Drosophila melanogaster: one gene and its partner. The protein of the gene in region 1 interacts with the protein of each later gene in a pairwise test. Each region holds a gene or a part of one and is shown on either strand. Other genes may lie near its edges.

Region 1 (6,455 bases):
AACTAGTCTCGGTAATTAAAATAACTCAGAATATATCGAGTTAATCGTATACAACGATGTTTTAATGTAAAATGCATAACTATACAGACACTTATGTATATTCCATTTAAACATGCTTAAGCATATATTTTTACGAATTTTGCAAAGTTCTTTTAGTCTAGTTGCAAACGCATAACAACAAATTAGTGATTTCTGAGTATCGCAAAAGTATCAACATTCACTATGCTTACAACTATGCAGATTTCGAAGATGAGTAAGAGGTGTGATAGCCTCTTTGGCCCCCAAATTGTCTGTGGGAGAACTAAGAGAATTTAAATTTAAAAACAACCGTTGTCATACAAATACAGTGAGTATTATAATTAAATAACAAGAAATTAATTGAAGTGCAGGTGAAAAACAAACGAAGCCTCTTACAATACAACCACTTTACTCCAATTAGTTTATTATCAAGGCGACTGTTCTTACTATAAATTACACATCACTTACAATAAATATAAATGTATAACATATGTTGCATTATAACCATGCAACTGCTTTGCTTTATAGTTTCGTGCCCAGAAAAACTAGGCGTATGAGTAATCTCGCATCCCTTTCGCTTGGGAAAATCACTCATCCGCCGCGTTGGCACTACATTCTGGTACGCACTGTATTCACTTCGTGTATGTGTGTATTTAAATGGTCGTGAATAGCCTGACAAGCTGGGCGAGCAGTCTGCGAGCGATCGAGTGGATAAAAATATACGAATTCCGCCCGGGCCCGGGGGCACATTAAAATAAGGGGTAAGATTAGGATGTCTAACCGATCTATTACTTTCACTTACCCGACGATTCTTATTCCTAAAGGGCTTGTAGGACTTGCCCTTGTGCTTGGCACCCAGATGAAGCTTTTTCATGGCTCACAAATTGTTTTGGAATCACAAACGGTATAGGAACACAAGCCGAAATTTATGCTGAGCGTCTAGCGCGATTTCTACACCCCCCCGCCAAAAGTCAATTATGCAATCATTTTTGGAATCGTTTCTGCGGTCGCACAACAAAATAAACAAACACTTTGCCGTTATGGCCACTAATCGTTAAATGGCCAAGAGCCCCGCACACACACACACACACACAGGCACACAGACACAATTGCTCATCGAATTGGGTCACAAATGTGGCTATGGGACTTAGAGTCCGTCACATGGCAGCGATTTGAACGAACGCAACGCCATCCTGCTGGAATCTATATGCTTGATGGGATTTATGTTCCGAGGGCGTGATCCACTTGGGCAAAGCAATGTGGAGCAGTTTCAAGCGGTTCGCGGTGGAGACGTCTGAATATGCGACCGACCGCACAAGACAGCAATTTCGACTGACAATATATTTGGCACCCGCGCCGCATCCATTGACAAAAATGCCCGCGAGAGAAACCAACGGAGACGATCTCGTGAGAATCATCTAGTAATGGGAAATTCAAGAGGTGAATCGCTCGGAAAATGGCTTGCAATAATCCGTTTTAGGACGGCTGCAGTTAGAATATATAAATACAGACGACACATGTTCTTTATGGCTTTCGAAAAGGAATCGGAGGGCAGAGGGCACAAAACAACAAAAAATAAGTTTTAAATCATTTTTTTTTTTGTTACCAGTTTTCCTTATCTCCAATCCCAATTTTTTTTTGTTCCATAGTATAAAGTCCAATTAAAGCATAGACGGATTTAATTCGAAAACATTCTTCACATGAATTTTTTTTTGCCACTAGTACTGTTGACCCTGGATTCCTTGGCCCAAGCCGCGCAGTTCCTCCATCAAAGCCGCCATTCCAATGCGCTGGTGAAATTGCTGCAACTGCTCTCGGTTGGGACTTCCCACGTAGTGGGGCACCTGTTCTGTGTAGGCGCCGGCGGATCCATAGGCTGGGGCCTCCTGGGCACAAGGAGCTGGGGCCAAATTGGGCTGGCAGCTGAACAGGTAGTTGGTGGGGCATGGTGGAGCCGGGTAGCCAGAAGAAGCAGCGGGCGCTGAATAAGCTGGAGCTGGAGCTGCATACGGGCAGGAGGCACCGGCAATGGCCACAAACGCAACGAGGGTGAGAGCAACGATCTGCATGATGAACTAAGTGATTTACAACTGTCGATTTAGTGACCAATGGTGGCATTCTTATAGCATTCATGCGTTGACTTTAATAACAAAACTCGGCACTTTTACCGTAGGCTTTAAGAAATGCAGTGCCATCACATAGCAAGCAATTTAAACGGGTCGCAAACTAGAAACAAGCAGACGATTATCACCTAATGTGGCAAAAAATTACTGTCACCATGCAGTCTGTCTCCCTTTTTGCAGAGCTTAATAGCAGAGCAATTAAATTATTGCGTCCAAAGTGCAAATCGAATGTGAATTTGCTCATTTTTTGGACCTCAGCTGTTTATTGACCCAATTTCCCAAGTACGATATTTAAGTATTACTTAAACGGCTGCCAATTTTTACAAGTTAATAAAACGTATGTAACATTTAATCTGCTAATAAATACTTCGCTTTTAAAAATGGTTATCCTAAAAATTAAATAAAGAAGTCATTTTATCTTATCGTATGTAGTAGAGCGACCCCTAGCGGGTACACTCAGAACAGATCAGGTCTCCTTAGCGAGTACACAAACCACAATCTAGATTTCGCCTTGGAGACTAGTTTATCGTATTTCAAGAGTTTTGCCTTCAAACACATAATTTCATGTTACGATAAAAAAATGTTTATAAAGTTTTCAGTTTATTTATAAAGTCAGAACATAAAAATATAAATTTACACAATTTGCAAATATTCTAATTGATTAAGTTTTCTTTTTATTATATTCGGCATATAGAGATCTTTTTGCCAACCTATCTGTTTCAGTTTCTTTTACGATAATTTAGCAATAAATGGAAATTTGTATTGAAAATTTATGTCATCTTTTAGTCATAACTCGATTTGACCTGCGTCCATTTATTATGGAAATCCTAATTGACCAAAACGAAACAGTCATAAACTTGAATGTAGAGTGCATAAATTGCAACCCGTTTTTTGAATGATATTCTATGCAAATAAGAAACATAGTTTCCTGGAAGGTTGGTAAGAAAATAATGCTTAAAAAGATCTATTTGCATAATTGGTTTAATTCGTAAGAGCAGCAAGTAAAACAGCTATGTGTGTACTAGCCCATTCTTTTCTAAGCTTAAGATGTAATATTTATAATTATGATTGATGACTATTCGATTTGGAACCTGTGTCTCGTTCAATAATTCCTTCTCTAATTGTGGCTTTAGTTATACAATTTGCTGATGATAACAAACAGTTTCTCATGCAACTGTCTGTCCAAAACGAAAGCCCCCCTCAAGTTGATATTGTTTTTGAATCTAACTTTGGCCGCAGGTAACTTTCCCCGCCGAAAAGCGAAGAGGGGTGTATACTTTAATTTGAGAAGGATCGCGACCGCTGGATTTTGGGTCGGGCAATTACGCACATGCACCATATAAAGCACACCACATACGTACATACATACATACATACATATGTATAAGATCGGACCTAAATTTTAATCATAGGCTTTGTGCCGATCGCCTGCCGCTGGCCTTCAAAGTGGGGCACCTTCGTTTCGAAGTGGATCCATCGAAATTTTCGGGTGTAGAGCCGTTTTGATTGCCCCCTCTAACGGTAAACAAATACCTGCCCTTGTTTTCGGTGTGCGTACGTGTGTGTATGTGTGTGTGTGTGTGCGATCCAGACATGGCCCCAAGATATACATCTTAACTGGAACTCCAATTGCAGGTAGTCCAGGGTGGGGTAATATTATATAGAATAATGGCCTTGGGACATACACCATCTTAGGTGGATTTTAATTGGTTATTGGTTCAGCAACTGATCAATGAATATTTAAGACTTAGCCTTTGTTTTATTGACTAAGCATACAATCCGTAGGCCTTCACTTCTCAAATATTTTATGGCCTTCTTTCTACTCCTTTGTTTTCGTTCAATTTTTTTTCTAGACGCTTCACTGAGATCAGTGGCTTTAATCGGCATTGGCTCGAGCCACCTGCCTTCGCTTAGACAGCGACTAAGACTGACCCAGCTGCTCCTGCCGTTTGCTCCATTGACTTGGTCCTGCGGCTGAGGAGGAGGATCCAGAACATACGCACACATGGGGACAAACACCAAGGGCAAAAAAGCAGACAAGCATATAACATGTCTCGGTACTTAGCGGATGATTCGGCGCCGGATACACCATGGTCGCTGGTCCTTGGCCCATGGCCATCATCCTCCTCCTCCGTGCACCGAGAAAAAATGTTATTCACAAATCATTTGCTGATCGGATGAGTCACATTTTAACTAAATTTTGATTAACTTTCAGTTGTAACTTTATTCTATCTATAAATGAACCAGAGGGATTGAAAATATATTTAAATAACTATGTGTATAACTTAAGTTGCATATGTAACACATCTTTTTTTTTTGCAGTGCTTCAAAGGCTGGAATAGCAGTCGTTTCGCTGCAGCCTAATACTTTTTACGGCATCTAAGTTAATCGAGCCGAAAAAAAAGGACTCGATGTGTTGCCACACTTTCCCGCCGGTAATTTAAGACCCTGTTTCCTTTTTTTTTTTACCACCAGCAGCAGCAGCAGTCAATTATGAGATGGTGATGGAGGACGAGATGGCACGGGGTATCCTCGAATCGCGAACGTTGACGAAATGCCGAGCTTTGTTTTAAATTAAATTTAATTAGCAGCAAGCCGAGCGAACGAAACACCTTTCAGTTGCTCGCGATTCCTTATAATTCATGCCTTCGGAACGGGGCACGTGTCCTCGTTTTGTGGCCAAAAACAGAAGCAGCTGCATTGGCTACAACACTGCGGGGTTAACAAGACCCAAACCGGCGGGTATGGGCAATGGTAGTGGGAATGGGAATGGCGGAGATGCACATTAAGTGGCCGTGGATGAGATCCGTGTGCAAGTAGCGCTAACAATGCCGTTATAAGTGGCCCATTAACACGGTGTCAACCGCCATGGAAGAGCAATTTCCGTCGCCATTGCCATTTATCGATTTTCAAATTCCATTCAAGGCGTATTTCAATGGGGAGGAGCCGATGGGGCGGAAGCGCACTCCTGCCAGGATATAGGATACAGTCGCGTTGAATACGATTAATGGGGCCAACTAGGCAGTTGTGGGCGGATGCATCCTGGACCAGGATGTGCGGGTTGAGCCACTTGTGTGTCGCCGATGCAATACGAGACCATTTACTCTATCGAACTTTATTTATGGGCAGTTGAAATGGGGGCATGAATAAATGCTTACTGGAAGCTAAGAATAGTTTGTAAAGCAATACATTGGAATTTTTTATAAATATTTAATGTAATTTAATCAGCTTCCTTTGAACTTTACTCTTTACAATCATGTTATGTACGAATTTATTTTGGTATATATATTCCAAATACTAAATCCAAAGAAATGATATTATAAAATCTGCTCATAATAAGAATCCTTTTATGAGTGTCAAATCATTCTCTGTTATCTACTTTGCATGTCTTCCATTTTTTCTTATATTAAATTCAATAAATTGTGAAATCATTGCTTAATCGTAGTAGTATGTTTGTGATTAACGTTCCTACCTGTTGGTTCCGCAATTCTCACGGCGTACAAAAGTGCTGCAGTGGGCTCCTCGATGGAGCTGAGCTATAAGCCGCGAATCCTTCTGGCTTCTGGGATCAATTTAAAGACGTTTGGCTTAGTTTAGTTTCATCTGCAAGGAAGAGGAGTAGAGATAGTCATTAAGTAACCAAATGGCAGACCGAAACAGGAAATCGCAAATAAAAGCAAGAAGAGCGACGCGATCGGCACTACATATAAATATTTATGTGGCTATGTTTGCGTACATTCTTCGACTCTTGCAATGAGAATTTCAAAGTCAAGGTTAACCACACAAACATTTTCGCATTTCGTTTCTCTGGCTTGTCTCCTCTTCGCAATCGCTTCTTATATTTTTTCCCATTTATTTATTTTGTTTCATTTTTTTTCCCCCTCTGTCCGCGGACAGTGCAAGTGCACGTGTGAGTGTCTGTGTGTGGGTCTAACAGCTACATACGCTGCGCATGCGCACTGCGCAGTTCGAGTTCGCACTGCTGGAAGTGCTGGCCCGTCGTCTGTGGCGTTGTTGTGTCTGCCTTCAGTCTGCCAGACGATCACAACAACAACTGCAGAGTGTCCTGACTCTAAAAAAAAAAAACGACCCAAGTCGCCACAGCTTGCAGCTCACTTGATCGGTTTCAAGTACAGGACTGTGTCGGAAACTTTCGGCACTATGCCAATATCACACTGGTGTTCATTTGATGTGAAGTGAGTTTCGTTGAGGAACTACCATTACTTCATAGAGAATTTTAGTTACTAGAAAGAATCTTCAGTTACGAAAAAGTATCTTCTGTTACTAAAAAGAATCTTCTGTTACCAGAAAGAA
Region 2 (8,799 bases), on another chromosome or scaffold:
GGTCATTAGAACGTTTTGCTCGTTAGTTTACCATTGGAACCAAAACAGAAACCCTTTTTTCGGGAACATGTTGAGCAGCTTAGGTAGCCACCAGTCCCTCTAGAAACACATTTGGCCTACGAAAGCACCCTAAACTAAACTAATATGCCAGCGTATATTAAAATATTTTAACCCTGCTACCTTTGTGACACTGTTTCCCTTTTGGGGATTATGTTTCTGGAGCAGGGACAAGATCCTGCGGTCGCCAGCTTTCCAGTTTTCCTCGATAATTTCCCGTTCCTCGTGGTGTTCGGGGTTGCGACCCCTGCACCTTGCTAACCCCGCTCCCTAATTACGAGTGCAGCGAGTGTGCAGCCGGCTTAGCTAACCGCCGCGGATTGGGTGCTCATGTGTTTATTATTGCTGGGTATGCAAATTTCATAAACCGTGAGCGGCATTCATTGACCCCCAGAGCTCGCTGACCAGCGGCTAGTGGTCGGTGGTCGATGGTCAGCGGTCAGCGGTTCTCGTTGGTCCAGCGATGCTAATGAGCACAGTGGCTGCTGATTAGACCCGGATTACTTCCGATTCAATGGTCTGGTATGAAAGATTCTATATTTTCAAATCACGTGTATAAAATACAATTTATGTAAAAATGCCAAATGGATACGAATTTTGGGGCATCCCTACTTGTCAGGTGGCAGATATCCAAATCGCATTCGCGCCTGCTCGTACAAAACGAAGGTGATAATCGTATTGGGTGACACTCGTATCAGGGCCGGAATGAATCCCTTGTAGAAGGCCAATGGGCCCTGTTTGGCGGTACTCAGAAAAGCACCTCCGATCCCGGAGAACTCCCCCGGCTGGGCGTTCATGAAAGTCGTCTTGATCACATCGAGCGGCTGCGTTATCACCACGGCAATGCATCCAGCTATCGTGGATGTGGCAAAGTGCAGTGGTACTCCCTCTCCTGCCCCCGTTGCGATCTTGAGCATCTGCTTTACTTGGTCGTAGGCTGCATTCGTTCCGATGGTCAGCAGGACTGCCCTGGAAACGGCCGGCACTGTGCCGCGGAAGAGACTGGACACGCCCTCCTCTTTGTAGATGCGGAAAAGGCCGTCGAAAACGTGCTTGTAGCTGCGGAATTCGTCTTAATTATATGACTCGTACGTATGGGGGGAAGAAATTTGCTGTCCTAATGACTAATTATCAATAGCAAACCAAAAAAGCACGTGGAGATGAAGACAAACGAACAGATGGACAAAGTCTGGGAGATCTATGGTACAGGAGCCCCCGGTAGTACTCACTTACGTCGCTTCTCCTCCGGCAACTTGACGTCGTTCTGGAGTCGCACTGTGACCACGTCCCCGGGTACACCCACAATCCCACCGACGATTCCCGCAAAGGTGGCCAGGGCCATCTTGGAACTAACTTTTTGCGTGTCGACGTAGTCCTTACCGGCCTCGTACAAGGCGAAGCGAGTGGTGGTATAGGTCAGCTGGCGAAACCAGGAGGCCGAAATGCCATTGTAAAAGCCCAAGATTCCGCTCCGCTCGTGTATGCCTTTAAGGATCTCCCCCACGGTCTTCCGGTCCGCTTGGGATTGGGTCTGCAGCTGTACCTTGATGAGATCAATCGGATGGGTGCCGGTGACTGCGATTGCAGCGCAAACCCCTCCAAACCACCAGCGCGGGAGGCGCCTCGAACTGTCTTCTCCCATAGACCGAACTTAATTTCTTGGAATTTTTTTTTAGAAACCCTAAGCTATCTGACGTGTAAAACTAAAAAGAATTCGGTAAATTTTTCGCTGCAACGAATTGTTCCCATTTAGCTAAGGATAATTCAGCCGCTATGACGGCGAACTGGTAGTCCTCGCAGTGACAAAGCGCACCTCAAGAATGTTCGTTAAAATTAATATTTTCTCTGATAATCCAATAATAGCACTAATCAAAGTATGCGTCATTGATATACCTCAAATTTTTGAATGTGGATCGTCACTACTTGTTTAAACTTTTTTGATTGTTTTTAATAATTATACCCGTTACTCGTGGATTATATATATTCTTATATATTATATATTATATATATATTTTTGATCGGAATCAATACCTGATTCAATCTGGCCATGTCCGTCTGTCCGTCTGTATGAACGTCGAGATTTCACGAAATATAACAACTAGAAAGGCTTTCCTGATCCGAATATCAATTATCAAGCGAGTTTCAACATATTCACTTATACACTCATGCGTTTATTTACAATAGATTCACAAAGTGTTCAAAGTTATAGTTATCATAGGGTATAACTTAAGCTTAAAGGCTTACGGGACTAGCTAATCTCACTGCGTTGTTTCTCCATTTTTTTCTCTCTGTGTAGGATGCGAAACTTAAGACTATCACACTTGGTCTGCTCTGACTAGAGGTTGAAATATCCCTTCTGAGGCTTATGCCCACAATCAATAGGCCATCTCGGCGCCCCAAGGACGATAGGGCTTTGCTCCGTTGGGAGTGGCGTACTGCAGCACACTGGAGTTGTTGTAGTCCTGGCCTGGCAGTCCGCTGACCGGATACTGAGGAGCAGCACTATAGCTAAGGCTATCGGAACCTATGGCCGCTGGACGATTGCTGTTGGTCAGCTCTATGTAGGTGGGAACCTGCTGCTCGGAATGCACTGCGCTGTGGTCGTGGGTATAGTGTTGCTGCTGCGTCGGCTGAGGTGTTGTCTGCGTCCGTTGCTGTTGCTGCTGATGCTGCTGCTGTTGGTGTTGCTGCTGCTGCTGCTGTTGCTGCTGCTGTTGCTGCTGCTGTTGGCTGCTGCTGTCAGAGTGGAGATCATGGCTGGGCAGCGATTCAGTTACGGCACTTCCACTTGTCCGCGAGACACTGGTGCGTCCTCCCAGTTGCTGAGCCTGCTGAGAGGGCGAGGCACTTAGTGTGGGGTAGCTGGACACATAGGCACCCGGGTTGGCTGGCGCCGCATAGCTCTGGTAGGGAGCAGCCGCACAGTTTGGCTGATAGCCGGAGGAGCTGGGAGCAGCCGGAGACCAGCCACCCGGACTGGCGCAGCTCTTGGCCGACAGTTCGCGCTGCTGCACAAAGTACTGGAGGTGGGACATAAGGCGCAGGCGCAGAGGATCCTGAATGTCCATGCCCTCGATGGTGACCAAATAGCGGGCCACCTCTGCGGCGCACTCGCGGAACCCAATGATATGGTAGTCCATGGCCACTCGCTGCGGATCATAGCTAAGCGAGTCGAGAGCTGCAACAAGATACGAGGAGGTGGAGAAAGTCAATAAGCTGTCTAATCCCAGTTCAGGCAAACAATTAAAATAGCTGTTCCCACGCGACGAGCATAAAGAACAACCCCCATGTCCTTCGGCGGGATGGCTTGTTGTGAGGTGGCTATCGGGGGGTGAAAGCCCGCGCCTGGCTACAAGGTTGCCATCGTGGTGGTGCCGCTACTGAGCGTGGGAAGCCCCGAGATTCGAGATTCACTTGAGCGCTAGGCTGGCGCTGGTGGTGGTGGTCCTGCTTTGCCTACGGCAATCATAATTTTCCCACAATTCGACCCTGTTCGGGACAACAGGTCAGGATTGTTTACCCAGATTTGTGATAATTTGCCGCATATTGTATTTAATATCGTTACTCAATTGTTTCCCACAGCGGCTTGCGTTTAGGGATTCTGCTTGCAGTTTTTCCCATTCCAATTTTTTATAATGTATTGAAGTTCATATGTATGTCAGATATGCCTTGATTAATTAGTGCGCTAAATGGGCCCTAATGTAATATTAACTGTCGAAATAAGAAATTACTTTCTTTACACTTTACTTCTTTTAGTTAACCAACTTAGTTGGCTGCCCAAGTTAACCCTCTATTTGCTCCTATTGTGATTAATGACCCATAGAAGCGTTTAACTTCAGTGAGGAGGTCTGTGGTGCAGCTAGCCTATTTGCTTTTTAAAACCTCTTTAAGCTAGCTCAAGTGGGCTTGGTAAACTTACTTTTAGACTGCAGACTCTTGAGATGCTCCACGGTCAGCTGAAGGATTTCGGCCTTCTCCAGCTTGGCGGATCCCTGCTTCTCGTAGGCGGAGGGCACCAGGCGCTTGAGTTCGGTGAGCGAGGAGTTGATCCGATCCCGCCGCTTCTTCTCGATCACTCCGCGTCGCTTCTTGCGGCTCATCAGTTGGCAGCTGCCCGGCTCACTGGGCGAGATTCTAATGGAACAGAGGAAAGGGTTTCTATTAGCTATGGATTGAAGTTAATGATAGATTCTTAATCTTAATATCTTAATCTTTCATAGACTGAAAAACACTCTATGGTGTTACTAAAAAAACCTCTAAGTTACAGAACATTTTAAAATCTATCTTTTCTTAAAACCCTATAGTTTAGTGATTTATATTTTGATGGTTTATCAGCAACTTTGCGTTAAGTGGAGTTATCCATGACTTCGATTCACTAAGTAAATATCATGACGCACTATTTTTTTTAGCAACATAAAACGTTTGCACATCGCATGGTATTTTCAAAGGTTTCATTTTACAAGACAACTCCTAACTTGGGAACTGCGAATAGCTTTTTGTGCACTAAATTGAAAAACAAATTTTGATAAGAAGTCACGAGTACGCACTGTTCCTTGGAGGACTCCTCGGAGTAGAGATCGTCGCAGTCGCTCTCGGAAAGCGTCCGCTTCAGGCTGCCGATGCCGTGGCTATGGCCCTGGCTATGCCCGTGGCTGTGGTTGCTGTGGGCGCTGTGGTGGCTCTGCGGCGGCGGCACCCAGTGGCTCTGGGGTGTGGTGGCGGTGGCGCCGGGCATGACCACGCCGGGTCCGGCGGCGTAGCCCCAGTGATGCAGCGATGGCGCATTGACGTGCATGTTGTGATCCATTGTGTGTGGTGACCAGTGTTTACTCGCTGCTCCTGCGCACTTGACACTACTGTGTTGATGTTGCTGTTGCTGAGCTGTAGCTTTGCGTGCTGCTAGTTGCAGAGGCAGATGCAGTTGGCGGCTAGACCGGGCTGGCGGAGCTAGTTTGAGCACGTGACTTATCGTGTGCGCGAACGGCGTTCGACTGATTCTGTAGCACACGTCGAGCGGACGACCTGCCCTCCGCTGCCGCCGCTCAACCCCTTTTTACCGCCTGCGGCAGCCGTCCAATAAGATGCAGCAGCAACCACCCCCTGGCAACGCGCAGCGCGTGCTTGCCGAGATTGGGGTAGGAAACGGGAAGCAAACATATTCGCCGCGCGGCGATCGCCGCCAAGTGAGCAAGTGAGAGTGTGCGACAAGGAGCGACCAGCGCCGGCAAATGAGCAAGCCTCTGTCATCGATTCATCCGATTGTATCGCCCGACCATCTGATATAGCCTTTCAGCAGCCTCTAAAGCATCTAAAGCATCTAAAGCATCTGCAGCACGGCCTTTAATCGGCGCCGTGGGCGACAAACTGGCGGCGTCCGCCGTCCACTTGTTTGCCGCTGGAGCGGCTGCACCCGTCCATGGAACTCAAACTGGAGCACGCGCCGGTCGTGTGGCATCGCGTGGCGCCGGGTAAAGCCCCAACAAGTGCAACAGCCGCCGTTGACCTCTATCTGTGCAGTGGGACGCGTGCTGGTGGGTGGCCCACACAGTTCTAGGTCAGTGCCGGCTCAAGGTTGCGGCATCCCGGGTCCGGAATGGGAACGGGAACATCCACAGGTGCAGAAGCAGGAGCAGGAGACGAGATAACAACGACTGCGGCAGCAGGTGACCGAAGTTGACCTAGAAATTGCCCGAGGTAAAATCGACTTGTTTACCTAGAAATATGCTAATGCGGAAATAATTCACTTTAATGTTATCGAAAGCAGCGTTTCATCACAAAGGGATATAAGGAACTTGGATGGCGACGGTAAAACGTAAATATGTTGTACAATTTTACGAAAAAGCAGACGTGAGCTTTATCTTTTTCTTTATCTTTTTGATTTGCCATTATAAACTCTTAGATGCGCTTTGTCACTGCATTTCGAATATTCACATGATTTAATCCATTCTAAATTTTTTGCTGAATTGGCTAATCTTATAACTTCCTTAATTGTTCCTTGTAATTGTATGAACGCTGAGCTCTCGGGAACTATAAAAGCATGAATGTAAAACTAGTTACTAGGATTAAGAGCTAGATTGTTACAGAAGATTGCAACGCCTACTCTTAAGGACACAAACCGGCTAAAACTGCCACGTCCATACTTTTGCAAAATTGTCATATTTTTTAAAAATATTTTGGCCACTCCCAGTCTAATGGCCACAAGCTGTCAATCTAAAACTTTTGAAAAATGTTTTGATATTTTTGATTTCACTATTTTTTTTGACAGCTTTGATCGCTATTCCACCAAAATTTGTCAGTTTTTCTAATGATTTTACAAGCTGAGATAGTTAACATCGAAATTAACGTTCTGTCTGTTTTGGTTAATGTTTCCCCATTAACTTTAATGTAATATATTTTGACAGTATTGTGTTCATAAATTCAATATAACAAGCTGATCAATGTCAATATTACCTATAAATTTTATTATGATAAACTATTTCATCCAAAATTTCCCATTATTTCTTATATCAGCCGCACGGAATGTGTGTTTAAAGCTAGCAGTAGATTAAAAACAATTAAAATGCGAATGAAAAACAGTATACGGTGGAGCTGATATATTTACATATATATGTACGTTGTGGTTTGACATAACTTTCCCTAATAAAAACTATACTTGAATTATCGTTATGCAAAAATAATTCTTCTGTAGATATCTATGTTAAAATGTTCATTTCAACTCCTTTGTCCTGTCACCCTAAAGAATCCCAATATTGCTATATGAATCCCTATACTATTGTATATACTTTTATATCCCTTTACTATTATATGTTGCAATTTCGCATATAACTGGAAATATCATTAGTTATTCTCCCCCACAAAATGATTTAGTGTAGCATTTCTCCCATTTTCTCGATTAATTTCGATGGTCGAGGCGTAAGCTTGACTATAATGGAGCCCCGTATCAATTTCAAAAACGTACATCAAAATCGAAAATTATAAAAAGTGCTTTTCATTTGATTCGGCATGCTGTCGCTCAGGTTTCGAGTGCGGCAAGCAGCAAAGTGAAAATGCCTAATGTCTAATGGCCAATGCCAGTGGCAGTGCCAGCGTGGGACAAACTCGCTCCGAATCGCCGGAACCCACCCCAAATCAAGTGGATGAATAGTGGCGGGCAAGTTGCACCACCGACAACGGGACGAACCCACGAAATCGCAGCCGTGGCTCGTGGGAAAGCCAAAGGTCTACGGATTCTCACGAGCGTCCAGCACACGTGCGGGTCGTGCGCCGGAATGGATCGATGGATGGATGGGTGGGCGATGAACTTACTCCCACCCACGGGGCACAGGGCATTCGCATTCGTATTCGCATTCTGAAGTGCATTACTCAAGGTATGGAGCCAAAGGTATGGCGCCGCACACACATACACACTTTATTGTTAATGGATATTCTCGAAAACAACTTTCTATAATGAAAATTGCGGTCTACCGACTCAAATACTCGATTACATATATGTATAATATACTCGTATGTAGGTAATTCTCACAAGACTGGTTTTCGTGCTCTATCGCTGGACGCAAAGTGGAGGTTACAAAGCCGCCGAGTGTCCGTTTCCGGTCTCAGAAGCTCCTAAGGCAAAGATTGCAGTTGTTTCCGCCTACTGCATTGTCGTGTCGGTGCAGCTCCAGGCTGAGGGGCTCCGTGTCGTCCACCCAGGTCTCCAGGGTGCAGGAGCTGGACTGGTGGCTGGACTTTTGCGACTGGGAGAGGGATCTGGTGGCCGCCGCCGCCTGCCGCCACCTGGCTTCGAAGTCATCCCAGCGATCGCAGGCGTCGTCGTCCAGGGAGTTCCCGTTGATGTCCCACTTAACAATGGGGAAGTCGTCGTGCGGTGGCTCCATGATCACCACGCTGTGGTAGTTGCCCTCCAGCTTGGAGCCCAGGCTGATACTGCAGGGATGGTAGCGGCTGGGCGTGGGAATCCTTTGCTGCACTTGTTGTTTCCTAGGAGTTGCCTGCTGCAGCACTTGCTGTTTCCGCGGAGTAGCCTGCTGCTGCTGCTGCTGCTCTGGCTGCTCCTCCTTCTGTTCCTCCAGCTGCAGATCCAGACTGGAATTGGAGGGCGTGTGCCGCAGGTAGCGTACATTCGCCTTGTATTTCACCCGCTCGAACTCGATGGTCGTTAGTGGTGTGTCCAACACCTCGTAGTTGCCGCAGCTCATCATGTATTTGGTGCGCAGGTCATGCTTGGCCGCTGGCTGCAGTTCCTCCACCTCCACCTCCTTGGAGGTGGCCAAGTCCAAGGCCTGGTTGCACTCGCTCAGCTGCAGCTCTTCGTAGATGGCCTCCGTCACCGGACAGTTGCTGTTCACATCCAGCTCCAGATCTCGCTGCAGGTTGAGCTCCTCCTCCACCTCCTCGTCGTCCCCGTCCTCCTCGTCCAGCCGCTGGACAAAGAGCTGCTTTGAAGTCGATATCTTGCGCAGGAACTGCAAGGACAGAAATCGATACGGATAAACATAGCGTTAGCGGCCAACGCGGCGTATGATTAACGTGCCGAAAGCACGGGCATGCGAACTTTACTGAACATTCTCATGCGGCGCGGGTCGCCATCGATTTCCTATAGATGGCCACCCATTTGGGCGCCACGCGAGGACTAACCTTCAGACAGGACTTCTTGGTGCGCCTCAGCAAGTGCGACATGCTGACGATGTCTTTGTGTCGCTGTCGCTTTGTACCTCCCTAATTGAACGCTGCAATTACAGT

What was found.
Region 2: the proteins of Vm32E (region 1) and Hey interact in a two-hybrid assay, tested with the Drosophila melanogaster proteins (one large-scale study listed by BioGRID).

The regions. Positions count from the first base shown.
Region 1 is NT_033779.5:11,169,548-11,176,002, forward strand, and holds Vm32E (vitelline membrane 32E), read right to left. Parts: upstream 2,119-6,455; 5' UTR 2,088-2,118; coding exon 1,737-2,087; 3' UTR 1,620-1,736; downstream 1-1,619. UniProt on the Drosophila melanogaster protein: Major early eggshell protein.
Region 2 is NT_033778.4:7,993,229-8,002,027, forward strand, and holds Hey (Hairy/E(spl)-related with YRPW motif), read right to left. Parts: upstream 5,051-8,799; 5' UTR 4,865-5,050; coding exon 4,605-4,864; intron 4,192-4,604; coding exon 3,977-4,191; intron 3,236-3,976; coding exon 2,433-3,235; 3' UTR 2,210-2,432; downstream 1-2,209. Other genes in the region: Dic3 (dicarboxylate carrier 3), read right to left, coding at 666-1,116, 1,287-1,699; CG11191 (uncharacterized protein), read right to left, coding at 7,653-8,522, 8,695-8,736. UniProt on the Drosophila melanogaster protein: Transcriptional repressor which acts as a downstream effector of Notch signaling.